Callithrix jacchus: one gene and its partners. The protein of the gene in region 2 interacts with the protein of the main gene of each other region in a pairwise test. Links are inferred from orthologs where the notes say so. Each region holds a gene or a part of one and is shown on either strand. Other genes may lie near its edges. The genes, in order: PRKAB2, MEOX2, NAA10, SMAD3, FUCA2, RPL15 and KDM8.

Evidence for each region.
Region 1: the proteins of MEOX2 (region 2) and PRKAB2 interact in binary tests that used the Homo sapiens proteins (3 or more experiments, as listed by UniProt). The link is inferred for Callithrix jacchus from reciprocal best matches to the Homo sapiens genes MEOX2 and PRKAB2.
Region 3: the proteins of MEOX2 (region 2) and NAA10 interact in binary tests that used the Homo sapiens proteins (3 or more experiments, as listed by UniProt). The two-hybrid records come from large-scale screens. The link is inferred for Callithrix jacchus from reciprocal best matches to the Homo sapiens genes MEOX2 and NAA10.
Region 4: the proteins of MEOX2 (region 2) and SMAD3 interact in binary tests that used the Homo sapiens proteins (3 or more experiments, as listed by UniProt). The two-hybrid records come from large-scale screens. The link is inferred for Callithrix jacchus from reciprocal best matches to the Homo sapiens genes MEOX2 and SMAD3.
Region 5: the proteins of MEOX2 (region 2) and FUCA2 interact in binary tests that used the Homo sapiens proteins (3 or more experiments, as listed by UniProt). The two-hybrid records come from large-scale screens. The link is inferred for Callithrix jacchus from reciprocal best matches to the Homo sapiens genes MEOX2 and FUCA2.
Region 6: the proteins of MEOX2 (region 2) and RPL15 interact in binary tests that used the Homo sapiens proteins (3 or more experiments, as listed by UniProt). The two-hybrid records come from large-scale screens. The link is inferred for Callithrix jacchus from reciprocal best matches to the Homo sapiens genes MEOX2 and RPL15.
Region 7: the proteins of MEOX2 (region 2) and KDM8 interact in a two-hybrid assay, tested with the Homo sapiens proteins (2 studies listed by BioGRID). The two-hybrid records come from large-scale screens. The link is inferred for Callithrix jacchus from reciprocal best matches to the Homo sapiens genes MEOX2 and KDM8.

The regions. Positions count from the first base shown.
Region 1 is NC_133519.1:7,286,797-7,290,380, forward strand, and holds part of PRKAB2 (5'-AMP-activated protein kinase subunit beta-2), read right to left. Parts: intron 1,916-3,584; coding exon 1,749-1,915; intron 945-1,748; coding exon 851-944; intron 620-850; coding exon 499-619; intron 1-498. UniProt on the Homo sapiens protein: Non-catalytic subunit of AMP-activated protein kinase (AMPK), an energy sensor protein kinase that plays a key role in regulating cellular energy metabolism.
Region 2 is NC_133512.1:42,792,434-42,796,817, reverse strand, and holds the start of MEOX2 (homeobox protein MOX-2), read right to left. Parts: upstream 2,831-4,384; 5' UTR 2,552-2,830; coding exon 2,038-2,551; exon of another isoform or gene 1,997-2,037; intron 1-1,996. UniProt on the Homo sapiens protein: Mesodermal transcription factor that plays a key role in somitogenesis and somitogenesis and limb muscle differentiation. Required during limb development for normal appendicular muscle formation and for the normal regulation of myogenic genes.
Region 3 is NC_133524.1:149,842,133-149,844,824, reverse strand, and holds the end of NAA10 (N-alpha-acetyltransferase 10), read left to right. Parts: coding exon 1-37; intron 38-1,072; coding exon of another isoform or gene 1,073-1,209; coding exon 1,210-1,294; intron 1,295-1,810; coding exon 1,811-2,092; 3' UTR 2,093-2,158; downstream 2,159-2,692. UniProt on the Homo sapiens protein: Catalytic subunit of N-terminal acetyltransferase complexes which display alpha (N-terminal) acetyltransferase activity. Acetylates amino termini that are devoid of initiator methionine.
Region 4 is NC_133509.1:14,107,591-14,111,768, reverse strand, and holds the start of SMAD3 (mothers against decapentaplegic homolog 3), read right to left. Parts: upstream 2,874-4,178; 5' UTR 2,312-2,873; coding exon 2,106-2,311; intron 1,732-2,105; exon of another isoform or gene 1,645-1,731; coding exon of another isoform or gene 1,640-1,644; exon of another isoform or gene 1,618-1,639; intron 684-1,617; exon of another isoform or gene 558-683; intron 1-557. UniProt on the Homo sapiens protein: Receptor-regulated SMAD (R-SMAD) that is an intracellular signal transducer and transcriptional modulator activated by TGF-beta (transforming growth factor) and activin type 1 receptor kinases.
Region 5 is NC_133505.1:150,287,145-150,291,406, reverse strand, and holds the start of FUCA2 (plasma alpha-L-fucosidase), read left to right. Parts: upstream 1-1,434; 5' UTR 1,435-1,476; coding exon 1,477-1,691; intron 1,692-4,262. UniProt on the Homo sapiens protein: Alpha-L-fucosidase is responsible for hydrolyzing the alpha-1,6-linked fucose joined to the reducing-end N-acetylglucosamine of the carbohydrate moieties of glycoproteins.
Region 6 is NC_133518.1:62,266,450-62,270,681, reverse strand, and holds the start of RPL15 (large ribosomal subunit protein eL15), read right to left. Parts: upstream 2,881-4,232; 5' UTR 2,572-2,880; exon of another isoform or gene 2,351-2,571; intron 2,165-2,350; 5' UTR 2,155-2,164; coding exon 1,983-2,154; intron 1,608-1,982; coding exon 1,471-1,607; intron 654-1,470; coding exon 348-653; 3' UTR 1-347.
Region 7 is NC_133513.1:27,795,603-27,799,186, reverse strand, and holds part of KDM8 (bifunctional peptidase and arginyl-hydroxylase JMJD5), read right to left. Parts: intron 3,208-3,584; 5' UTR 3,177-3,207; coding exon 2,679-3,176; intron 1-2,678. UniProt on the Homo sapiens protein: Bifunctional enzyme that acts both as an endopeptidase and 2-oxoglutarate-dependent monooxygenase.

The DNA of each region.
Region 1 (3,584 bases), on a different chromosome or scaffold from region 2:
CCTGGTCACCATGGTGAAACCCCATTTCTATTAAAAATACAAAAAGTTAGCTGGGCATGGTGGTGCGTGCCTGTAATCCCAGCTACTCAGGAGGCTGAGGCAGGAGAACTGGCTGAACCCAGGAGGCGGAGGTTGCGGTGAGCCGAGATCGCACCATTGCATTCCATCCTGGGTAACAAGAGCGAAACTCCGTCTCAAAAAAAAAAAAGATAATGTAGCAAATGGAGTGTATCACATGTGATACGGTAAACATTACACCATGAGACTTTTGTTAGCATGTGCGTGTGTGTGGGTGTCTGCAGCAAAGAAGAGACCTAAGCTTACAAGAGAAATCTCAATGTCTCTTTCCCCCTCTCCCCTTCACCCCCCGCCCCACCCTGGCTCACTCTCTTCTTCTTTCTCTGTCTCTCTCTTTCTATATATATATACATACAGAAACAACTTTTGGGAAGGTGCAAGAAAGACACAGCAAAAAAAGAGTAAATACTACAAAATTACCTCTACAAGATGCCTCAGAACTTTCCATAGAGTCTAGCTTTAAAGCATCGAACACCTCAAAATCCGATTTCTTGACATGGATCAAATTGTTAATTGTGCCGAGCTGACTGGTAACCACAGGCTGAAACAGGGAAAAGAAAAAAATACTGAATCTCTCTTTCAAATCCATCTTTTCCATCCAACCTTCCTCTTTTATCCTAAAATTTACATGTGATTAGACTCAGCACCTCCATATTTTATCAAGAGAGAAATCCTCCAGTGTAGGGGAGCAGCTGCCCATCAGTCTTGACAGAAGTGACAGCTAAAATGGGGCTGCTAAGTCAGTGGTTACCCTTGGAGATCAAGGCCTTACCTCTGATGGATCATGAACCCACTGTCCATCCACAAAGAACTTGTATTGGTGTTCTCCCTCAGGGAGGTCCAGGATGGCAACAAAGTCATTATGGCTATGAAGAAAAAGAAAAGCAAACAGGCCGAGTTCCTTTCAGAAGACCAAATATAAAAAACAAGTGGCAATCACAGTATCACATGAAGGATCTCCCAGATTCCTAAGCCACTGTATCCCCTGGTGTGAAAAACAATGTATAAACCCATTCTCCTCTTTTGTATCATCTTGGACGTGTATTTACCAGCTCCTCCCAACAACGTTAGTTCTTAACCAGTATCTGGAAAAGAATAATAAAAGCATGAATCCTCTGGAATGGTGCACCCTAGCATAACTACGTTGCTTCAGCAGAACAAGCTCCTAGCCAGTGCAAAGAAGATAGGTAGGTTCAGGACACAGTGCCTCAAGGTATCCTTTCTCTATTTCCGTGAACCTTTTCTGGAAAATGACCTACCATACAATGGGCCATTCTGACAACCAGTTAGACCATTCATTATTGCTGTGGGAGCAACAAATAACATGACTAGCTAGAACTTCAAAATGTGTTTTGCTTTAGTGCAGAAGTCAGGGCAACAAGCCTCAGCCAGTTACAGAAGACTTCCCACAAGCACAGCCCTAATGAATGGAGCCACAAAGCTATTATGAATCCCTCTGAGGCAATCATATTCGAAGGGGTAAAACATCTCTGACTCACTATGAAGTTTAAAAAAATCCCACAGATATACTAAGTGGCCACAGAAAGGGCATGTTCTAGAGAGAGTCCTTAGCAGTGGGGAAAAGTAGTCCAGTGGCGTTTCTCTTCTGAGAAAAGAAATTAGGTCACTATTCCTGGACCCTTAGATTCAACCAAGACACTTGTCTTCACCTCTTAATCAGTGGAATCTTGGTGCTCCAATTGTTGAAGGACCCAGAGATGAAGACCTCCTTGCCTCCTTCAGACCAGCGGATAACAGTGGGCCGGGCCTGCTGTGTGGGCTTTACGGAGTCCTCCAAATCCTGCTGCCAGGATACAAACTCTTTGTCCCCAGGGAGCTGTAAGAAGGAGTAGGTCATCCCTAGAATAAACTGTGACCCAAGAATTCTAAAAGGTCACTCTCCTCCCTAGGGTAGAGAAGGATGCTAGGCTTTAGCTAAGGATATAAACCCCACAATCAGCAACTAAATCTGAGTTTGAACAAATTATAGAAAAAAAAAACTCATTTAGGACCAAAAATGGTCAAATGGCCTATGCTTAAGTACCTCCTAAATCATAGCCTGACTTTTGAGTCTACCTGCATCATCCACCCTTTCCGCGCCTTAGACTCTCCTTCAAAAAAAAGCAAGAAAAAACTATTCCCTACCACTAGTTTAACTCATAAGCAGGCAATTATTATACACTTCTGAGTCTTTAAGAGAAAAAAACATATAAAAACAAAGTATGGTTCTATTAAAAAATAATATATATTTTTATAGGCAAATATGAATAGCTCTCAATTACCAGCTGTAATGGAAGTTAGAGACATCAAAATTCATAATTCATAAACGCTATTTCTGCTAATAAGTTACAAAAAGAAGAAACAGTAAAAACTCAAAAACCGGATCACTGATTTCTTAAAACTTGAGAAGTAGCTATGAAATCTTACTTGCTCCCCTGTGCTAGGTTTATACTAATTATTTCAGGAGTAGGAACAAAAATTCTAGAACCTCAAGGAGCAAGAGATCGAAAATACAGTTTCCTTTATCAAGAGTAGTAATCTTACCAAATGAGGTATGTGGGATTGCAAAAAAAAACATCTCCTGTTTCTTTTCATTATCATCCTTTGGACCAAGAGTTGGCAGACAGCCAGTGAGCCAGATGCTTTTATCAAGTTTTATTTGAAAACAGCTCCACTTATTTGTCTACCTATTATTTATTTATTGAGAAACGGCCTTGCTCTGTCACCCAGGCTAGAATGCAGTGAGTGGTGTGATCATAGCTCACTGCAGCCTTGAACTCCTGGGCTCAAGCCATGTTCCCAAGAAACTGAGACCAGAGGTGCGAGCCACCATCCCTGCCTTGTTTACCTGTATTACTTATAGCTACTTACAAGCTACAGTGGCAGAATTGCACAGCTGTAACAGAGACTGCATGGTCTACAATGTCTAAAATAGTTACTACCTGGCCCTTCACAGAAAGTTTGCTGACCCCTGTTTCAGATTGGTTTAAGTGACTCTGGTAAATGAGACTGTAGATTATTAAGCCTAAATATTACCAAATAGAATAATGTGGGCTTCCCCCCCCCCCAAAAAGGACTGGCTTATTCATTTGGGCCTTCTTTTCAAAATGGTTGACATAGTTTCCCCTCCATACATTCTCGTGATATTCCCCAAAACTACAGTACGAGACATCAGTAGCAGGATAATCCAAAGTAAACAGAGAAAGAGAATTGAAAGGACTTTCACATTATATAAGGAACTGACTTAAGAGAAAACTACATATTCTCAGAACAATGTACTCTTGCATGACTGACTGTGTTAGAATTGCAAGAATTTTACATATGCCTAAGAATAACCCTAAGATTCTGATTCAGATATAAGATCTGGGAATCTATTTTTAAAAAGCTTCCTAGATAATACTGTAATTATGTTAAAATAAAGTAAAAAAGCTTCCTAGACATACCCTGATTATGTTCAAATAAAGAAAAATCCCTCATCTTTAGAAGTAGATCTAAAATGTTACAGA
Region 2 (4,384 bases):
TGGTGACTATTTGTACTTTCCACTCAAGTTTTAATTTATTCATAATTTATTCAGCTGACACAAACACTTATATTTGTTTGTTTTTCCATTACCCTCATTATCAGCTTCAACATGTAGAAATGAACTTAATTTTGTTAAATGGCTATTTCCCACACAGTTGGGGGAAGAGACAAATGTTATTAAATTATTCCTTTTTAAAAAAAAAAGTTTTATTAAAATAAATTAAGGAAATCAGTTATTGAATTCCATTTTCTTGGTTTCCCCCAAACAAAATAACATGTGCTTGCATGAAAATTGTTTGCCCTAAGAAACTTAAGGGCAGTGGCTCAGTTCCGGAAGCATAAGGCTATCATGTAGGTTTCTCATTGCAGAAAAATAAAATGAACAGTAAGGGCTTATGGGAATTGCAAGAGTACTCTCATCAGCCTGAACTGGGATCTCTTTCAAAAGTTACACTGATATCGAATGTTCAGTTTATAAAATTGTCACTGCATTCTAAAATCGACGGTTTTTCTAATAAAAATTGAAACCTTCTTACAACGATTAACCTTCCACTATCTAAAGGGAGTTTCACTTATAGTTAGGAAAATACAGTAAATATCAGTGACACCACTGCTAACTTTCTTATAAAAACTAATTTGTGATTGAACATTAAAAGTTCATCCCCTATCCTTGGAAAATAAAAGTTATTTTATTCTTCTGACAGAAGAATCTATCCCATACTAACGCTGAAGAACGATTGATATTGCTGCGAAGGGGAGAGGAATATTAAACATGCGGTCAATCATTTTCATTTATGTGACATCTCACCTAAAGCTTTAAAAAGCATAAACATTCCAATCCTTCAAACCAATATATGGGATTACCTTCTAGGACTATTATTAACCCAGTTCCGCAGAGGAAGAAAAATATACAAATATTATATTAAACAAATAATACCTTCCAAAAAGATGGAAGCCAGGGTGCACCATAGCCACGAAAGAAAACTCACAAGTCTCTCAATTTTAAAGTATCTTTTAACAATTTTATGATAATAGAAGTAGGTCAGAGCTTTGAAAAGTTGTCTGGAAAACTTTGAGTTTCTCTGGATTGCTACAATTTACTCTGCAAGTTGTGCCTTCAAGCACCAGAGGTCAGGAAGATTCCCCTTTTGCGTGGCTGCTCAAATTATCCTCACTGAAATCAGCGCTTCCTGCGCACCCTTGCATACGACCTTCAGGCACGTAGCTAACTGACACTACCCAAGTTGCTGTTCGCTACCCAGTATTTGCCGCAGCTAAAACCAACTTGGTAGAGGGATTTATTTTCCACTCTTGAAATTTAGATTCTGTAATTAACTTACACAACATGAACATGTACTATATTAAGGTTCGTCTTTCTTCCAGCGTGAGCATGTATTTATTTACAATTCTCTGACACATTCCTTAAAATCTGAATTCCTAGATAATATCTTCTTCCCTAAGAAGGGGAAATTTTTACCATTTGAAATAGGGTGCTATTTAAAGAACTCTCAAACAAGAATGTTTAAAAAAAAAAAACTAAAACTTTTTTTTTTTTCTCATGTGCTCTGCCAAGTTCCATTGCAAGTTCCAAATATTGTGCAATAATTTGGAAATCCAGTTTACGATGGGAAAAGTCAAGCCACTCAGAGTCGGGAACTTGCAAGAGAAAAGTCAAGAAGCAGCACCCGCACGCACGCACGCCTGCCCAACGGACGCGGCATCCCTGGGCACACGCCCCTCCCTCCCCCGCGCTGGGATGGAAGGTCACGCTTCGCAATCGATTTCACAGCCACTTGTCCTTTTTTATCAACCTTCTGGTAAACTAGTTTAGGACCTTGGAGAGCTTAGAGCTGCTAGCTGTGTTGCTCTCGGATAAACACGTGCCCCCAAATAACAGGACCAAAGCTTCACCGCCGAATTTAACACATTCCCCTCTTCCCCGCCGCCACCCTCCAGGGCCAGACTCTTCCCTGGCATCTCCCCGCCCCCTTTCCAGGCCGGCGCGCACTCTCGAGGGTGCCTGGCGCTCTCTTACCTGAGCTGTCGCTTTTCCTCTTGCCACCGCTTCGTTTCTCCGCCTCCGCAGGTGACAGTGCCTGGCGACCGTAGTCCCCTGGCGCGCACGAGGCCCCGGTCGGGGTGCTGGAGCCCAAGCTGGAAGAGTTGGAACACAGGACAGGCGGGCTGCTCCCCAACTCTGGGGGTCCTCCGGAGTCGGGCTGGAGGCAGAGGCTGTGCCGAGCCGCAGTCGGTGGGGAGGACATCTGCGGGAGGTGCCAATTGGTTTGCAGAGCCTGGTGCTGCTGCTGCTGATGGTGGTGATGGTGGTGATGATGGTGGTGGTGGTGCCCCCTGTGATGCTGGCTGGCAAACATGCCCTCTTCGTTGGGGTATCCCGCGATTATGCAAGATGAGGAAGAAGTAGAGAGCTCGGGGTAAGACATATGGTCAGATCTTCCATGCAGGGCTAGAGAGGATTGGGAGAACGGGTGCAAGCCTTGTGCCGTGGCGTGAGGGCTGCGCAGGCAGCCAAAGAGCGGGTGTTCCATAGCATGCAAGTTTCGGGTTCCAGGCAGAAGACTTCACGGCGGTTCTAAAGGCCACCACCCTCTGTCACTTTTCACTGGAAACCGTGTGATGTTTTTTACCCCTCTCAAAGCAATAGCCGTGCACTTCTGCAGAGCTCGGATAATCCCGGTCCTGAGCCCTAACGGCCAGTCTCCTTTACATATGAACAGTCGGACCTGGAAGAGCTTCCCTGAGCTACTCAGATGTCAAGAGTGGGAGAGGTTGAAGCCAAAAGAAGGTGGTCCCAGTGAACTGCCTTCAGGGGGAAATGGCTCTGAGAGGTTATAAATAGACTGTAACGTGAGCTGGGGGCTGGCTTAGGAGCCCAGAGTTGACCACATGCAAACTCCCTCCAAAACTCCCGCTCAGTCTGCGCCACGCGCTCCCAGTTCCACTTCCTATCGCCGGCTGGACAGACGCAGAGCGTCCACGCCCGCCTAGCCCTGCCAGCTACCAGGACTACAAGCGGCGCGCCAGCGTCTAAATCCCGCCCGGGAGGGCAGCGGCTCTGCCCTCCAGACTCTGGAGGCCAGGGCGCGGCGCGCACCAGCGCCAACCCAGCACCCTGTTTCCCACCTACTAATTTTTCTCTTGGGAAAACGTAACTTGTCAGTGTCATTTGGGAACTGTCACCTGCAGAAAAGCTAGGGATACGCCTAGCCTTTGAGGAACACGAAAGAAGTGATAGGGTTAAAGGAAAAGATCAGAGCTAGCCTGGCGCACTCTGGAAGTTTTTCAAACTTCGCATCTTCCCGTGCCCAGGGCGCCGCCGCGCGCCTAGGTTTTCGCAGTTAGTTTCTGTGGGTGGTGGTTAAGAGGCTGGGACGCCAGGTCTGAGGTTTCGGGGACGTGCACCATGGCCTGGAAAGTGTGGTTCACAGTGCGGAAAGACCTGAGAGGAAGACCTAAGGAAGACCTGGTGGGGTGGGTGGGAGGTAAGCGCGAATTGCAGATGCCTGCTCTCTGGCATCCTCACGTGCGATGCCCGGTGGAGTCTCCCTCCCCCCCGCTTTCCTGGTCTCGCTCAATTTCCTAGCCACTCGTCCACCAAGAAGAAATTTTCCTGGGTCAAGAATTATTTCCAAGCGATTTTGTCCCAGTCACATGAGATGTGTAGATTTGCATGCACATTTCTAGCCTCTCCCCTCCGGAGCTAGCCCAGGTCTCTTCAGTTCCCTCTAGAAATCCACTCTTCTGCTCAAAAATAAATCCACTAATCGTGTCTCTTAACACCACTGCTCCATTTACTGAGAAATCTTAAATTTCGATAGCTCTAAGAATTCACTAAGCTTGGGCGCTTGATTACATCTTTGCATCCCTGAAAATAAACTCGATAACTTGCCTCCAGTAAGCATGGGAGAGCGAGGGCAGGGCTTTGATACTGCCACTTGCTTGGTGAGCGACAAGATCCGCTGGGGCACAGTCGTTTATACACAAGTGAATGGGCTTTAATGAGCAGGAGGAACAGTCACGTCGGATCTGGGACGTGTCGGATCAGGAGAATATCTGTAGTCACCTATTCCACCCGGAGCCCCGACTGCACCACCAGCAGTGTCGCCCTGTTATTTTCATTGTCTCAGGTGTCCAGAGGATGGTGACCAGGTCTTTGAAGTTGTTAATGGGATTAATGGGTACAGCAAACTGGGCTAGACATCTGGTTTGAATTAGGAAAAAGTATTGATTAATCTTTGAGAGGTGTCCCCAAAGCAGAACCTTTCCTCTCCTCTTCCAGTCCCCCTGTTTAAGCCTATCTTTTCTTTTAAGTCACGCTGCAGAATGGTGGCTTCGCAATAACATTCGTGTGAAAGATCGAA
Region 3 (2,692 bases), on a different chromosome or scaffold from region 2:
CCGCCCTGCACCTCTATTCCAACACCCTCAACTTTCAGTAAGTAGATCTTGGTGTCTGTAATGGGTTGGGGCTGGTCCCAGGTCTGGCTGTCAGGGCCGCTGAGACCAGCTGAGCTGCTTTCCAGGCAGGGGGTGGGCTAGCTACGGGGAGGAGGCTGTGGATCCCAGCGCTGCCAAGATGCCTCCCCACTCACTTGGTGGCTGATGGCTGAAATGTGCTCCATGTGTGTTGTGATGGAGGAGCTCTGGCCCATGCTGGCTGAGGCTGGTGAAGGGCACAGGGTTGTTTAGTCATGTTTGGGAATAGAGATGTGTGGGTCTCTGGCATGAGCAGATGCTAAGGAGCAGGACTCTGTGTGACCAAGCGCCTGGAAGCATCTAAGAGAGAGCAGAAGCAAGGAGAATGCATGTTCAGGAAGAAAGGGCCGGCGGCCAGGCAGCCTAGTGGATGGGGCAGGTCTGCCGAGGACCCGGAGGCCCCGTTTGCCTGGCCCAGGAGAGAGAACCTGGCAGTCAGTGTGCCCAGTAGACAGTGGAAAAAAGTGCTTGCAAGTGAAGCTGGGGTGGGCTACCCGTGTGCCCGTGGAGGGATGCTAACTGCACTCAGCACCAGTTTGACTGTTGGGAAGGGCGGTGGCCTCGGCTGGGTGCTGGCAGGAAGGATCTGTGACCCAGATGAGGATGTCTGGTGGAAACTGCTTTATAGTGAAGTCAACAGTCCTCATGTCTGAGGTCTGACAGGGCCAGCCTTCCAGGACATGGCCACCCGAGCCTGCACGCGTGCCTCCCCAGTGCGGGCTGGGCTGTGCTGCATAGGGATGCAGCCCTCAAACGGGCTCACCCACGTTCCTGTATTTTCATCACTGTGGTGAGGCAGCTCAGTAAGGGATAGGAAGCAGGGCAGAAAGGGAAGGGGAAGGCTGAATTCAGGGCTTCAGCTCACAAGAAACCACAGAAGGGGAATCCTTAGTAGCCAGGCTAAGGACACAGAACAGGAACAGGACAGGGGTGGGGCGGGCCACTGTTACCTGGAGCCTTTACTGGAAGTGGGGCCACTGGAGGATTCTTTCAGGCTGGACTTGCTGTCTCAGGATGGAGCCTTCAGGGAGAAAACATGTCACCTTGCTTCAGTAGCCATGATGCCAGGAGCAGAGGAGGATGTGTCCTGGGTATGGGTCTTCCTCCTTGCTCTCTGCCCTCTGCCCCCAGGATCAGTGAAGTGGAGCCCAAATACTATGCAGATGGGGAGGATGCCTACGCCATGAAGCGGGATCTCACCCAGATGGCGGACGAGGTGAGAGCGCTGCAGTTTAGCCAAGCGAGGCCAGTGGGGTCGGCCCTGTGGGCGGGGGGGAGGTGGCGGCACTTGAGAGCCCTGGGACAGTGGCTGGAAGCAAGACCAACTTTGGGCGCCAGCCCTTGTGGCCACATTGCCAGGACTCACGGCCTCAGTTTCCTAGGCTGGGCTTTAGAGGAGGCTGTCTGCCTAGCAGCAGCCTGGAGGGTGGTGGGAGAGGCAGACGGAGGAGGCTTTTAGAAGGGAAGTGGGACAGCCTGGGACCAGTGGGTGGCCTGCCTGCTCAGAGGTAGTTCTGAGTCAGGGTTCTGCCCAAGGTGGCAGGGCTGTTGAAGGGGCAGCACTCGGTCGTGGGGGCCTCCATGGTAGTCAGTGAACCCAGGGAGCAGTGGGCAAGGCTCCAGCCAGGTGTCCCCACTCAGTCCCGTGTGTCTTTCCTAGCCCTGCTGCTTCTCATTATGCCCGTCCCCTCAGCCAGCGACAAGTCCAGGCTCCCCTTGTCTGGAAACTTAGGCCCTGTATCTTTGCTCCCGCTTCTCCCTGGGCTCCTGGCGGCAGCTGAGGCGGCACCTGGAGCTGAAGGAGAAGGGCAGGCACATGGTGCTGGGCGCCATGGAGAACAAGGTGGAGAGCAAAGGCAGCTCACCTCCGAACTCAGGAGAGGCCTGTCGTGAGGAGAAGGGCCTGGCTGCTGAGGATAGTGGAGGGGACAGCAAGGACCTCAGCGAGGTCAGCGAGACCACAGAGAGCACAGATGTCAAAGACAGCTCAGAGGCCTCCGACTCGGCCTCCTAGAGCCTGCCCCGGCCCTTCCTCACCCCACGAGCTTTCACAATAAATTCGCTCTATGGCACTGGGGAACTTTGTGTGTGTGTGTGTGTGTGTGTGTGTGTGTGTGTGTGTGTATGCGCACGTGCGCTTGCACATTTAGAAGGTGTGTTTCTCCAGCTCCTCTGTCTGGTGGGGATGTGAACCTCACAGCCTTTTAAGCCAGGGCATCCTGCCAGGCCCGAGTAGAAGGGAGGAGCTTTGTGAGAGCCTTGGGGGTGGGACTCCCCAGTCTCATAACCTTCAGCAGCTGTGGCCCCAGGGAAGGAGGCCCTAGACTTCCGGGAGAGACCCTGCCTCAGAGGCCTGCTCGGCCACGCCGAATGTGTTTTGTGCAAGCCTCGGCCGCTCAGGCTCAAAGCTCAACAGCGGGCTCCCATTCTTCAGTACTTCTGCTTGGCTCTTGAGTGTCCCACCTCCAGCCCTTTTCTCTCCTAATCACACTTGCTTTGGGCTACAGCAGCTCCACTACACCCCGTGGGCTTCAGATGTAGACATCCAACTGCTCATTGGGCCTGTCTACAGCTGTCCTGTCTGAGTAATGACCCAGCCAGATGCCCAGTTGCT
Region 4 (4,178 bases), on a different chromosome or scaffold from region 2:
AGAAGAGGAAAAGGCAGGCCAAAGGTATAACCCCACAGAGGACAAACTACCAAGACCAGGGAAAGCAAGGCCTCTCCGCCAAGCCATCAACAGCCCACAGATACAGGAGCAACGGCACAGACAAAGGTCCACAGGGCCCTCCCCAAGCTAAAAGGGCTTTAGCATTCAGCAAAGAATGTATTCAGATCTTCAAAGCAGAAAGCAGCGTGGGGCAGCAGAAAGAGCACATGCGGTCAGAAGCCCGTGTCTACTACCCAGGCCTTTGCACCTCTCTCTCCTAAAGTTTTCTCAACTTTAAAAATGTGATAATCTTAGGCCTAACAACCTAACCTACTCTCCAGGGCTTGGCTGGTTGCCTGCTTGCTTTTTTTGAGAACCTCGGAAACCATGTGAAAGTGCTTTGTAAACTGTGAAACACTTTTCACAGCTGCCTGTTGTATAATTAATACCACTTTTCTTTTTCAACGCTTAAAGCGCTTGTCTTCAATGCACCACGGCAGATACGGACAAGGTAGGTTTGGGAGCCCCCTCCCCAGACAGAGAAGTAGGATACTCACCCACTCTACCCTCTCCACCCGCACCGAAGAAATACAGAAGAATTAAGAACCCGAGCTGGAACCAAACCCCGAGGTCTCTCTGACCATCACATCACACCACCTCCTCTGAAGTCAATTCTGGCTCCTGATCACACGCCCAGAGACTTCCCCAGACAGCACACCGCCTTCCCTCCCCCTTTATTGACTGGATCCACCCAGTTAAAAAAGAATTTTGTTTAAGTCCGCACTCCCACCATATGTGGCATTTATTTCCAGGGGAAGCCTGCCCTGAGTTCCTGCAGACAGATGTTGCTTTGTGCCTGCCTGACTCTCCTGGCAGACCTTGTACAACTGCCCCAAGCAGGTGGCCAAGGATGGAGTCCACCCTGGCTCCGGAACAGGGATGACAGCCCTTCATGGCTGACAGTCCCTGGTGCTCTCTAATCATTCCTCTGCAGCCTAGGACCTCCAAAACAGCCACCCCCCAACACACACACTCTCTCCCCTGGTTCGGAATCAAAGAAGACTGAGAGGTAGAGACAGGAGGCCAAGGTACCTCCACCCCCAATTCCCAATCAGGCACAGCTAAGCTAAGGAAGCCCCTGGGGGAGTGAAGTCACTGACCCCTTCTATCAGCCATCTGTGGGCTCCCGCCCGACCTAGCTAGCGCGCGACGGGAAGGATAAAGGAGATCCAGACAGATGGCAGAGCGCTTTGGGAAGGAGGGCTCTACAGGAATGCGAGGGCCGATGCGAGGCCCACTTCGGGGTGTGTTTTGTTATCTGCCCGGCTCCAGCCCGCCCCTCTCCCTCGTTCTGCACGACTCAAAATCTCTTGGACTGAAAGGAGGGCAAAAGAGTCGGGATGAGGGGTGGGAAATGAGGGAGGAGACCCTATTTTCTGCCACTTGTCTCTCCCATTTGGAAGTCAGAGCATTTGCACTGCAACCAAAGTGCGTGCGTGCGCAGGGGGCGGGAGACTGGCACAACCGAATCTAAAAATACTCGATAAAAACGCTAATCCCGAAGGCAAAGAAAGAACGAAGAAGGAATCTGTCAATCACGAGGCTCCCGCTCCTCACCCACAGCCCCAGCTGTACGGACCGCATTCCTGTAGAGGAAAGAAGTGGGGAGACCGGACTGAAGAAAAGAAACGCAGAGACACCACCACCTCCACGAGCGCGGGCCGCGGGGGCGGGAGGCGGCGGCGGAGGAGGGGCTCCGGCCCGCGGAGCCGAACAAAGCGGGCCTCAACTTCCAGCCCCAGCTCCCCGGGGTGGGGGCGGCCGAGTCCCGCAGCAACCCGCTCTCCCCTCCCAGGGGTGGAAAGGGAATGTGAGGTTTGGAAGCGAGAGTGCCGCGTGGAAGCCTCGGGCTCTGATCTTTGCAAATACAGAGATGGTTTTGTTTGGGGTCCCCCCACCCCCTTCCTGCCCCTGCTCTTGCTCCCCACTCTTACACGCACGCACACAGTCTCTCTCCCTCTTCCCATCTCCAACCCCACTGGGTCGGCCCCGCAGTGCCAGGGGGCTGCGCTGCTTGCCCCCGGGTCCCCCGGGCGGGCCCCCACCTGGGGATGGTGATGCACTTGGTGTTGACGTTCTGCGTGGTGATGGCCTTCTCCAGCTCGTCCAGCTGCCCCGTCTTCTTGAGCTTCTTGACCAGGCTCTTGACCGCCTTCTCGCACCATTTCTCCTCCTGCCCGTTCTGCTCGCCCTTCTTCCAGCCCAGCAGGCGCTTCACGATCGGGGGAGTGAAAGGCAGGATGGACGACATGGCTAGGGAGGGCGCGCGGGCGGCGAGGAGCGCCCCCGGCGGGGCTGTACTCGGCGGGAAGCCGGGGGCGCAGAGGGGAGCTCTGCCGGGGCCGGCCTCGGCCGCCCAAACTTCGCCTAACTCTCGGCGAAGTTGCCGGGGCGCCGGGCCGGGCCGCGGCGCTGCAGCCTGCGGGGTTCGGCGCGCCGCTCTGAGCCCGGAGCTGCTCCCACGGCGGGGAAAACGGCGGCCAGGCGGGTGGGCGGACGGCAGCGGCGCCGGGTCGGGAAGGCCCCGAACGCGGGGCGGAGGCGGCGGCCGCGAGACTCCGAGTGGCAGCAGAAGTTTGGGTTTCCGCACGGGGTAGCTGTTTGGGTGCCGCCTCCGGGAAGGAAAGTCCAACCCCCGGCCAAACTTCGCTCGCCTCGCTAGCTTTGATGAGCAGATCCCTCCGCCTCTGCTGCCTCGCAGCCCCGCTGCCCTCCTCCTCCCGGCTCGCCGCTCGCTCGCTCGCTGGCTGGGCCGGCCCGGGGCGTACGCCGCGCTCCCGCTCCCGCTCCCGCCCGCTCCCAGTCTGTGTTTCATGCAAATCCGCGTGCAGCCTCCTTTCCTAGCGCTGTCACCGCCCCCTCGCCGCCGGGGCTCCCCGCCTCCTCCCCCGCGCCCCGCCGCCTCCTCGCGCGGGCGTCCTATCCGCCCCCTGCTCAGGGGAGAGCTCCCGGCTGGCCCCCGGCGGGCCGGCTGGCCGGCCACTTCGCCACCTCCCCACGCCCAGCACGCCCACGTGGGCGACCCGGGCGGCAGCGGTCCTGGCTGGAGCGCACGGGATCCCGCGCAGCCCCCACCTGAAGTCGGGCGGGCGCGGGGAGGAAGTCTTGGGAAAGGCGCGGCGAGAAGGGCCGCGGGAGGGAGGGCTGAGCGCGGCCCTTGGCGTTCGCTGTCGGAGCCCACGCTCGGGCAGCTCGATTGCAGTTGCGGGCCGGAGAGGGTTGGACTCGCAGCAAGCAAGCGCTGTCCCGGCGGGAGTGCACCCTGGAGAGGACCCCAGCCCGGGAGGGGGCGCGCGGAAGGCCCGGGCCCAGGAAGTTGGGGCGCGCACTTGGCCTTGCGCTCGCTGATCCCCGTCAAGGCCCTTGGCCGGCTCCGGCGCCCGGGGGCTGTTTTTATTCTCTCGACGGTGAGATCACACCGGCTGAGAGCCTCCGGAACGTGTGCGAAGCGGGGAGGTGGGGACAAGTGGGTCCTCAGAAGTGGAGAGTTGGGATCTCAGTGACAACCTTGACAATGGCTGGAGCCTGGGGTCCCTTGAGCCTTGTGAAGCGAGTACCCGGCAGAAAATGGGCCTCAAAGACATCTGTTGAATTCTTAAAAGGAATGAATGGGGATGCTTTTAAATTTATCTTTGGAAGAAATTTACATAACCGGGTGTTGCTGGATCTCCTGATAGAGAAAGATCGGAAATTTGACACCCAATAAATGCAAGAGAGTTTTGTTTCCAAAGCAATGAACTCACAAAAAAGTGAGGCAAGACAGGAGTATTTGGGAGTTTATGTATTTAAAAAAAAATAAAAAAGCAAAACAACAACAAACCAACTGGCACATTGTGGAGCTCCGGTCTTTTCACCCCACCAAAAGATTTCAGGGGCGTCTGCCCGCAGGCCCCTTGGTGACTTTCAGGAAATACTCCGGTACCCTGGGCCTTTCTCTTGCTGCGGCCTCCCACATCAAACTAGGCAGTGTCTAAGTCCTTTGTTTGTTTTTAACAGCAGGAATCCCCCACCCCCTACCCCCGCTTTGTTTTTTTGTTTTTAAGTTATCTGCAAACCTTCAAGTGGGTGGGGAGTTACAAAGCCCTGTGAGGTGTGTCGGAATACACAAAATAAGGCCA
Region 5 (4,262 bases), on a different chromosome or scaffold from region 2:
TTACTTTGAAAGCACTTAAGAGGTGGAAGAGAGGCCAAGCATGGGGGCTCATGCCTATCATTCTAGCACTTTGGGAGGCTGAGGTGGGTGGATCACCTGAGGTCAGGAGTTTAAGACCAGCCAGTCCAACATGGTGAAACCCATCTCTATGAAAAAAAACTACAAAAATTAGTCTGCTATGGTGGTGGGTGCCTGTAGTCCTGGTCACCTGCGAGGCTGAGGCAGGAGAATTGCTTGAACCAGGGTGGCAGAGGCTGCAGTGAACCTAGATTGTGCCACTGCACTCCAGCAGGGGCAACAGAATGAGACTGTCTCAAAAAACAAACAAACAAACAAAAAACAGGTGGAGGAGATAAGCTTCCCAAATGTCCTTTTGATTAATCATTCCAAGGTGTTGATGGCTTTTCCCAAGCTTGCAGATTTCTTAAACATTCATTCCACTGGTTTCACCTGTCTCAGATAATCTGCTTGTTTAATGCAGTGGTTCTCAGGAAAGTTTGGCTCACTGCCGGCAACGTCAGAATCTTTTTTTTTTTTTTTTTTTTTTTGAGACAGAGTCTAGCTCTGTTGCCCAGGCTGGATGGAGTGCAGTGGTGCCATCTCGGCTCACTGCAACCTCTTCTTCTCGGGTTCAGTTCAAGCGATTCTCCTGCCTCAGCCTTCCGAGTAGCTAGGACTATAAGCTCACACCACCCCACCCCCCCTAATTTTTTGTATTTTTAGTAGAGACGGAGTTTCATCGTGTTAGCCAGGATGGTCTCAATCTCCCGACCTTGTGATCTGCCTGCCTCCGCCTCTGCTGGGATTACAGGTGTGAGCCACGGCGTCCGGCCCAACAACAGAATCTTCTGGGAACTGGGTAGAAATGCAAATTCTTGGGCCCCAACCTAACTGCTGAATCTGAAGCTCTTGGAATTTCCTCTGACATAAATTCGAGGTTGACAGCCATGGTTCTAACATACAGACCTTGGGAGCTGATACAGAGGCTGAGAACCATCTAGGTTACTTTCCATGTTCCATCTTGGCGAGACCTGGCTGAGGTTACTGCCCTGACCTTCTCGTCCACGACTCGGACGTGTGGAGCAGCACTCAGGCGGGCTGGTGGCGTGGTCCTCTTGGGCAGATATTTGGGCAGGGTCGTGCCTGCTTGAGGGCAGAGGCGCTGGTCACAGGGCCCTGACGCAGACTCATATTTTCCCCCTCAAAGCGGACAGAGCCTTAGCAAAGCCATGGCAGCTGGCTTTGGGGTAATGGGGGCCTCCTTAGTCACGCTGAGCGATGCAGCCCTCCTGGGGTTATTGCGAGTGCCCGGGAGAGTGGCGACTCCCGCCCCGGAGGGGGAAGGGTGGCCTGTTTCCAAGTCCGGCTTGGTCAGGTGACAGCGGCGCGGCATACTCAGCAGCAATAAAACGGAAGGACAGCCCCTGTGAGGCCGCGCCAGCCTGCAAAGAAGACAGCCGGCCCGCGCGGGGGGACATGCGGCCCAGGGAGCTCCCCGGCCTCGCTCTCCCGCTGCTGCTGCTGCCGCCGCTGCTGCCGCCTTGCCCTGCCCGCAGCGCTGCGCGCTTCGACCCCACCTGGGAGTCCCTGGACGCCCGCCAGCTGCCCGCGTGGTTCGACCAGGCCAAGTTCGGCATCTTCATCCACTGGGGCGTGTTTTCCGTGCCCAGCTTCGGTAGCGAGTGGTTCTGGTGAGTGCGCTCCTCTGCGTCTTCTCTGCCGCGCTCTTGTTCCCACCCGCAGGCTCCAGCCACCACCCAGCGGGCCTGGTGCTGCCTGCACCCTCTTCGGTTTCACCTCCCACTTCCGGGTTTCGAATGTGGGGTTTCTTGCCGAAGTGTGTCGTGCTGAATGAACAGGGAATTTTTCTTCCTGTAACTGCAAGAGTTTTCAGACACACCTGACTCCTCAGCTTCTTCACAGTTGCCCATATGAAGCTGTAGTTATGACACTACAACATCGAGCTACTAGAGACACTCATCAGTTTGTCCAGGGCCATCACATGAGCGCGGACTCAGACACAATGGCTCGTGGCTGCTCTGCCAGTTTGCAGTCATTCTGGAGTGAACTTATGGTTAAAACATAGTCATGAGTATGTGAAACGACTGTTCATTTGAACACCATTGGCTATTTAAGGTTAATATGTTACCCATGTGTGGCTCCAGGAACTTTTAAAAGAGGTTCTGGAATGGTACTCTTAACGCCACCCAGTTATACTGCCATATGAAAGGTGCTGCACAAAAATCCGTGCTTTAGATTTTACTTTGAGATCTATGTGAGAATGTGCATATAATTTCTTAAACTATTGCACATGTCTTTTCTGGATAAATGCTACAAGTATGAAGTTCTTTAAAATAGAAATATTTTGTGTGCATATACAGATACATGCACATAATATATTCTTTTATTTTATATATTTATTTAGAGACGGAATCTGACTCTGTCGCCCAGGTTGGAGTGCAGTGGGCTGGTCTTGGCTCACTGCAACCTTTGCCTGCTGGGCTCCAGCGATTCTCATGCCTCAACCTATGGAGTAGCTAGGACTACAGGCATGCGCCACCATGCAGGCTAATCTTTTGTATTTTTTAGTAGAGATGAGGATTTGCCATGTTGGCCAGGCTGGTCTCGAACTCCTGACCTCAGATGATCAGTGGTGGCTCACGCCTGTAATCACAGCACTTTGGGACACATAATATATTCTTAAGTAAAATAAAGGAATCATTAAACAATAAGTATTTATTTGACTATATACTACATAAATAGTATACATCCAAATTAACATACTATATTTAATAGACAATACAGAGTATGAGCTATATGTTATATTAACATTACACAGTATACACTATACCATGCTTACGGTAGGGGTAGAAAAATTACACCACCATTCTGTTAGGGTCTCTGCTGGGTCCGAGAATTAAATAGACATTGTGTGATTAAATTATATGGGGAGGCTTAAAAAATAAGAGTTATTTGAACAAGGTCTGCACAGGATTCTACTTCTTATCTTTGAAGCTTAGGATGTTGCCTTTTCTTCTAGTATAGAGCATCTTTCACACTGGAATTTCATCTTCTGCTCCTAAGAAACAGCACAAGGGTCAAAGTGCTTTTCATGCTTCTGCTATTTTTCAAGTTTCTTTACATTTAATAATATGCCACAGTATCATATTTTAGCCCTTTCATTACAAAGAGATTGACCACCTGCAACCAGTAACCTTTCTTATTAGTAGGCCAGTTGATGTAAAAAAATAAAACTGGGTAAGCTATGGAGAATTATTCATGTACTTTAAATAATTCAACTTGTAAAACAGAGACTCTTTCTTCTTATACCAAAACATAGCTACTTCAAAAAGATGTTACAAATATTTATTTGCATGTTTTGGGCGGTAAGGAATCTTGAGTTTATTTTGGAAATGTTTTAGGTTAGTGTGGTACATAATTAACACATTTTCTTCCCCCTAAATTGTATCTTATATTGTCATTTTCTTCAATCGTGAAGATTAGGTAAAGATATATTGGTACCAGAAGAGGATTTGACATTTGTTAAAACTAGTACTATGCCAAAATAAAACAGCTACTTTTGAGTCGTTTTATTCTTTGCTATGAATAACTTCATTTTCTACAAATAAACCTATGGTTGTTTGTTTTGACCTAGAATAAAGGTCAATAAAGATACTTCTCATACTAAATAAAATGAGAACACATTCCTGAAGATCTGGAAATGCATTAACCCTGTGGAAGATTTTTTGATTATCTATGATTTCCCTTTGTATCCTCTGCTCCTTACTCTCAATTTGACTTTCAGGCAATCAACTGTACAGATGAGTATATCTGACTGTCCTAAATGGCTATTTTTTTTTTTTTTTTGAGACGGAGTTTTGCTCTTGTTACCCAGGCTGGAGTGCAATGGCGCGATCTCGGCTCACCGCAACCTCCGCCTCCTGGGTTCACGCAATTCTCCTGCCTCAGCCTCCCAAGTAGCTGGGATTAGAGGCATGCGCCACCATACTCAGCTAATTTTTTGTATTTTTAGTAGAGATGGGGTTTCACCATGTTGACCAGGATGGTCTCAATCTGTTGACCTCGTGATCCACCCGCCTCGGCCTCCCAAAGCCTAAATGCCTATTAAAAACCAAATATAAATGATGGACTTTCTACCATAAATGCCTCTTTTCATCTCTCAGCATGAAATTTGAGTCTAGACTGTAGGGGAGAATGCAGGTTCAAATTAGATGATACTAGGAGAAATTCTCTCCTTTCTT
Region 6 (4,232 bases), on a different chromosome or scaffold from region 2:
TGCCAGCACCCCAATAAAGCTGCAGGTTTCATCACATGCACCAGACAAATCTACAGGGCTAGTTTCAGTACTTTTCTTTTAAAGAGTTTATTTTAAACCTATTATACCACACAGTATGTTTTATACACTGACATAGAACTCCCTAATAAGATAAAGCAAAGACAAAAATGTTTATCTTATTAGAAACATACACCATATCACGTATTGTCTTCAAACATTATTGCACTTGAATTTGACAAAGCATTCATGAAACAATCAGCAGACTAATTTTAACAAAGAACACCTGTAAGCAGACATGACTGTCCTAAATTGTTTATTAGGCATGAATTTTACAAACTTTACTTATATTAGCGGTAACGGTGGAGCTGGAGAGTATTACGCCTTCTCCAAGCTGCCCGGCGAGAACCACCAATAGTGTGGTGGAACTTATGGCCCTTTCCAAGGCCACGGCTCTTTCGGCCTGCAGATGTCAGCCCACGCATCTCCCTGTGCTTGTGGACTGGTTTGGTGATCCATTGGGTGTCAGGATTTCTTCTGATAGCTTTATGGAATGGATCAATGAGAATAACCTCAAAAAATTTGTATGTGGAATCTTCGCCAACCCAGTAAGAATTCAGGACTCTCAGAGCCCCACAGTGGCGTCCAGCTCGCTCCTAGAATAGGAAAAAAGGCCCACCATCAGTCTCCCACATTGCCTATAGCAGCAAGTTGAAAGAACTTTCTCACCTCTAGTTCACCACCAGACTAGTCTTTTACTGTTCCAAGTATTTACTAAGCATCTCTCCCCAGACTGTCTCCAGTAAGCATAATGAGATAAAGTAGACATGCTAAAACACCACACATAAACATACACTGAAACACATTCATTCCCTTATCACTCCATTCTGCACTAGGGCACGAATGTTAACATCTGGCTAACAAAATTTAGGGTTTGGGGACCTTATCTTTTTCCAATACAACTGAGAGCTCAGAAATGTTCAGCTTTAACAATATTTAGTATGTACTTTAGGCTGTGCAGGCCACATTTGGTCTCTTCTGGATATTCCTGACTCTTTAAGAAACAAAACAAAAAATTTTTTAGCTAGTGGAGACAGTCCCTAGTTTGCCAATGCCTACAACAGAACATAGCTTAATTTACTAACCTGGAAGAAAACCTGCAACTGACTACATAAAATTAGCAACATAAATGCAGCTTCTACACAATTGGGGAAATGTGTTCTAAGATAAAGTTTACTGTGCCTCAAAAGCTTAGGTTCCACAAGTACTTCCAGTTTATACACACACATTTGTAACAAAGATTTACAAGTCTTTCAAGCAATTAATTACTCTTGACCAAGATTAATAAAAATCACAAATCCTGTTTTATTCAAGAGACAGCTCACCTAAGTACAATCAGAAAAGCTGCTTAGATCTGTCTCTCTCACGATCTCCAAGCAGTATTCAATGTAACTGCTACTTAAAACCATTTACCTCTGCAACAGACTGAAGGCTTCGAGCAAACTTCAGCTGGTTAACACCATGATGGACAGGCTTGCCATAAGTTGCACCCTTAGGAACTGGGCGTTTTCGGCCACCACGGCGAACACGAATCCTATATATAACGTAACCTACACACAAACACACACAAAATTAGGGACTTTATAGGAAGCCAAGACTCAATGGCTTGTTACTAACACTGCACCAAAAATACTTCAAGAGTAAGCTACTGCTATTAATGGAAAAAAAAACCACATTCCAGTATTTTTCAATTAATCACACAGGAGGCACACTGTTGATTCTGCTTTAAACTCATTAAAATTTGTAATCTTTAACACACCTGCCACTTTAGACAACGGTGCATTCCTTAACTGACCAGTGTTGCTACCTCTTTCGCCAAAGCCCTATCCGAAGAAAGACACCGGGGCGACAGTGTCTTCCTAACAGTTAGTTTCCAACTTTTCTCGAATAGTTTCATCCAAGCATCCACGCAGTCGATCACGTACCTTGCTTGGCCTTGTAGCCCAGTCGGCGCGCTTTATCAGGCCGGGTGGGGCGGGGAGCCCTGTGGAGAGCAGAGAGCTGGCGGTACTGCCAGCAGCGGACCCTCAGAAGAAAGCGCATGACATCAGACTGCTTCTTTCTCCATAACTCCTGGATATACTTGTATGCACCCATCTTGGCTTACCTGCGTAATCAGACTGGGCATTAGATATCATCCGCTTTAAGTACAGTAAGACGACGACCCTTCCCGTCCATCTTAGTTCCCCAACAAGCACAAGGACACCGCGGGAATGAAAACGGCTCGGCACCAACCGCCGGAGACAGCTAGCCCAACCCCCACAGCAGCGCCCACGGAGCCGCGTTCAGTCACCTCCGCAACTGCGACGCGGAGTGGCGCTCGGCACGTTTTGGTGGGGGGAATCAATAGAACTAGAGCTGAGCACCGAGGGGGCGGGTGGCTGCGGCAGGCGGCGTCCCCAAGGCGGACCTGCAAGGAGATGTCTCTGACACCACAGGGCAAGGTACTGCTGCCGCCACGGAGGATTAACTCTCGAGGAAAATGCATCTACCCCATCCAACCAGCAGCCTCACTTAGGCTGCCTTGTTCCGGGCGCCACATCCGTCAGCCTCACGCCTCCTCCAGGCTCCGGGCCCAGCTCGAATTCGCGCCGCCATCATATCTTCGCCCAACCCACCCCGGGGGGCGCCTCTCCACCCCCTCGCTGTCCCGCATCCTGACCAACTCTTGTCGGAGAGGAGGGAGACCTATTTCCGAGGATGCAGGGTCCCCGAGCCTGGATGGCTGAAGACGAACACGATAAAAGGCGGATGGAAGAGCAGATTCCCAACTCAGCCTACCTGATGGCTGCCACCAGACGAAAAGGAAAGAGCTGTACTCCCACAATCCTTTTTGGGCTCCTCCCCCACCTCAGCCAATCTCTTTCCGGTGGAAAGCTGCGGCCTCCCAGAGCCTCATGGGACATGTAGTTCCGGCATCGCGCCTGGTGGGCGGAGTTCTGCCGAGTGGCGCGCAGCCGTCCCGATTGTCCCGTCCCCTACTCCGCAGGATTTGAGCCTGAGCGGCCTGGGCGTCTCGAAGGGTGAGAGAGTTGGCTGCGAGGCCTCGGCCGGCAAGCGAGTGTCGGCTAAGATCCCGCAGCGGGAGGAAGCAAGTTGGGCTCCAGGCTCCAAAGCCGGTGGCCGCGGGCCGCGGTGGAGCCAGTGTCTTCGAGGTCGGAGGAGAGAACAGGTTTGTTTCGCGCACCGCGGTCTCCCCCTGCGGAGTCTCTGCGGGTTTCTCCAAGCTACTCTGTCCCTCTCCTGCCCCCGCATGACAGGCGGAGAAATCTGGGCCCCAGCGCTGCGCTAAGACCCCTCAACGCTTTCCCAGCCCCCCAGGGAGGCCTTTGCGGAGCCGGGGGCAACGCGGATGGGGGCGCTCACTGCGTCCCTTCAGCTCCAGTCTGTGTGACGCGCTCTCAGGCCCCAGCTCCCAGGGATTTTTGTCCTAAAAAGGGTCACGGAGTGGGTGGATTGCGGGCAGCTGGGCGGTTTTTCTGCATACGGATTTCGTCCCAAATTTGCTAACATCAGAACCACAGTTTTTCAGAAAAGCAAAATATTTATTTTCCAAGACCTAAACAGGTCTTGGCAGTTGTGAATGTTTTAGGGAAGAAACGCCGAGAAAATGCTGGCATTTTGCGTTGCGTTTTTTTTTTTTTTAAATTGAGAAATAGGTTACTGGCTTATTTTGCTTCTCCAGAATATTTTCATTTTTGATACAGTCATGTGGTTTTAATTTCCTTCCAGATTATGCGTTCAAATGTGGCAAAGGTTGAAGAGAATCGTATCTCTTAGTCGCAGCGGTTTTGATTATCTTTTTTCCCTACATCATAGTTTTCTGTATTTTTAAATCACAGCCTTACCTTTTTAAGAGTCCCCATCTGGTTCATTGATTGATTCAAGAAATATTAAGTGTCTAATACGTGCCAGGCATAGCTGCTAGGGCTGCAGCAGCAAACGCAGAAATTTTGGCCTTCTTGGAAACGGGCACCAGGCAGAAGTAAGCTGTGTATTGGGGTTGCTGGTAAATGCTAAGGAAATACGCTAAAGGGAGGGAAGCGATGAGGGAGTGTTACGGGGCGGGGGCTTGCCATTTGGGATGGAATGTCCAGGTGAAGTCTTTTAGAGAAGGCAGCATTTAAGATAGGACCTCAAAAGATAAGAGTCTAGGAGTAAGAGTGGGGACTGAT
Region 7 (3,584 bases), on a different chromosome or scaffold from region 2:
AACAGCCACAATGAAGCAGCAGCCCTGCCTCTCCCATCCATTTATCAAAAGCAGTTTCCACATGGCCACCCAGTCCTTGCAATTTTTTAGGAGTGGCTGCACCATCATTTACTTAACTATCTCCCAACTGGGTGACCTGAGGCGTTACTTGCTGTTTGAGGCCTCAGTGTCTAGTGTCCACAGGTGTGAAACTGCTGGGGAATGGCTGGGCATGGTGGCTCATGCCTGTCATCCCAGCACTTTGGGAGGCTAAGGTGGGAGGACTGCTTGAGCCTGGGAGTTTAAGACCAGCCTGGGCAACATAGAGAAACCTCCATCTCTAGAAAAAATTTAAAAAGCCGGGCGTGGTGGTGCACACCTGTAGTCTCAGCCACTCGGGAAGCTGAGGCAGGAGAAATCACCTGAGCCTGGGAGGTCGAGGCTGCAGTAAGCTATGTTTTTTTTTTTGAGACAGAGTCTTGCTGTTACCCAGGCTGGAGTGCAGTGGTGTGATCTCGGCTCACTGTAACCTCTACCTCCTGGGTTCAAGCAATTCTTCCAACTCAGCCTCCAGAGTAGCTGGGATTACAGGTGTGTGCCAGAACATCTGGCTAATTTTTGTACATTTAGTAAAGATGGGATTTCACCATATTGGCCAGGCTGGTCTTGAACTCCTGACCTCAGGTGATCCGCTGGCCTCGGCCTCACGAAGTGCAGGGATTACAGGCGTGAGCCACCATGCCTGGCCCCCTCTTTCATTTTTTTAACCCGAGGTGAGGTTGAATATTTTCCTGCATGATCTATTTTCATTTTGTGAACAGTCTGTTCAGGCTCCTCGACTTCTACCTCCTGGGGCTCAAGATTTTTTCCTTATTGATTTGTACCATTCCTTACATAATAGAGATATTCATTGTCTGACATATTTGTTGACAATTTTTCTTCACCCTTTATTGGATTTTGTTTTATTTTGGTTACATGCATGTGTGTTTACTGACAATCATTTGCATTTTTCTTAGATAAAAGTAATATGTGGCCGGGCGTGGTGGCTCACACCTGTAATCCCAGTACTTTGAGAGGCTGAGGTGGGCAGATCACCTGAGGTCAGGAGCTGGAGACCAGCCTGGCCAAATGGTGAAAACTCCGTCTCTATTAAAAATACAAAAATCAGCCGGTTGTGGTGGTAGGCACCTATAATCCCAGCTACTTGGGAGACTGAGGCAGGAGAATCACTTGAACCTGGGAGGCAGAGGTTGCAGTGAGCTCAGACTGTGCCATTGCACTCCAGCTTGGGTGACAGAGTGAGACTCCATCTCAATAATAAGAATAAGAATATGTATTGTAGGAAATTCTGAAAACATAGCAAAGCATTTAGAAAAAATGTCAAAAACATCCCATAATTCCAGTACTGAGTGTCTAGTACAGTCTTAGCCATTTCTTTCTGTGGGTCGGTACTCTGCCACTCTTACAGACAAGGAGACCGAGGCTCGAAGGAGGTTAAGTGACTTGCTTGGGGTTGCTGTGAGGCTTGTATGTCAGCACCAGGGCCTGAGGAGTAAACCATGTTCTGTTCATGGAGGTGGTCTTTGGAACAGACATAGACTCAAGGGGTGGGCAAGATCGATCCCCAAAACAGATGTCAGCTACTTGTAGTATCTCATTCAAACCCGGGAGCAGAGAGATGGGAGCAGCCAGAGGTATCACCTTGCCTGGGTGAGACTTCAGCAAGCCCATCAAGAAAAAGCTGAAAGAAATGGGCCGCTGCTGGCTGCAACTCTCGCCCACATAATCTATTTAAGCTGTTTCTCTTTCTCTCAGGAACCATGAAGCTTCCCTGCTGCCTCTCTGCTGAAAGAGCGCTGCTTTTGCAAAAAAAAAGGAAAAAGAAGTTTTCCTTTTTTTTGAGAAAATGAATGGAGCTGTCTATTTTCAAAATCAATGGGGACTGAGCATGGTGGCTCACACATGTAATCGCAGTGCTTTGGGAGGCCATGGCAGGAGGATCCGTTTAGGCCAGGAGTTCCAGATTAACCCGGGAAACATAATGAGACCCCATCTCTACAAAAAATAAAAAATAGGCTGGGCGTGGTGGCTCACGCCTGTAATCCCAGCACTTTGGGGGACTGAGGTGGGTGGATCACAAGGTCAGGAGTTTGAGACCAGCCTGGCTAACATGGTGAAACCCTGTCTCTACTGACAAAGCAACAATTGGCCAGGCATGGTGGCAGACACCTGTAATCCCAGGTACGCAGATTCTGAGGCAAGAGAAGCATTTGAACCTGGGGGGCAGAGGTTACAGTGACCAACACCATGCTACTGCACTCCAGCCTGGGTGACAGAGCGAGACTCTGTCTCAAAAAAAGAATGAATAAAAATAAAAAATAAAACTAAAAAAAAAGCTGGGTGTGTTGCCACGCATCCATAGTTCCAGCTACTAAGGAGGCTGAGGCAGAAGGATTGCTTGAGCCCAGAAGTGGAGGCTGCAGTGAGCCGAGATTGCACTACTGCACTCCAGCTGGGGCGACAGAGCGGGAGCGTACCTCAAAAAACAAACAGGAATTCAGAATCAATGGAGATGCTATTTTCCGTCAGAGGGGTTGCAGGCCATGAGGCTCCACCCCAGGGGAGAGATAACTTGGAATTTCTAGAACAGCAGGGTTGCTGGATGGCTCTTGTGCTTGGGGACAATCTCCCCCACATACCTTTGTGCAGGGCTGCTCCGGGGTGGAGCCGTGGGCAGGCCTTTTTCCAGGGAGGTGTGCCTGGAGGATGGCAGCGACTTTAAGGAGGACGTCCCCCAGGATGGCTGCCCCCATCAGCAGGCCCATGTCACAGACCCGCAGGGCTGCAGCCACAGTGGTGGCGTCCCCAGGTGCCTGGCACAGACACAGGACTTTCAGGAGGCAGCCCATGGCGTAGACCTGGCGCCAGTCTTTGTCTACGTCCCGCCACGTGCCCGTGTTGAGCTTCTCCCAGGAGTAGTCCAGGATCACCTCGCTGGTCTGCAGACACTCGGCCCTCCTGCCCTTGTAGAAGAGCTCAGTGGCTTGCTGCAGCAGCGTCACCACGCTCCTCTCCACTTTCTCCCCGAGGTCCAGCTTCAGGTCTTCTTTAGTGTGTGGCAGGAGTGCCCTGAGGGCCTCCCAAAGAGTGCCTTCTCCGGCTAGGGGCTCTTCAGGGCAGTGGGTGTCTCCAGCCATTGGGCCACTGCCAGCTCAGTCGGTCCCGTGCCTGGGGAGGCGGAGAGAAACAAGAGTTAGACACCAGGACAGACCTGTCCCCTGTGCCTTCCTGCAGCTTCCTGCATCTCATCTGGGAGGATTTTTCAACAGTGGTCTTCTCTGCTGGGGACCTCTGGAAGGGACGGCCCCCTTCTGTCTGTATCACTGCTGTATCTTCAGGGCCTGTTACAACACCTGGTACTCAGCGAGCACTGGACAAATGTGTGTTCAGAAAGCAACGTGTATATTGTCCTTGTCTGCCCTGCCTCCCATACCCCTCCGCTGCCTGGCAAACTCCTACCCAACCTTTAAGGCCCATCTTAAACACCTGTATGTGAGACCTGCCAAGATTCTCCAACAGTGTTCTGTGTTCCTGCAGCCCTTGAG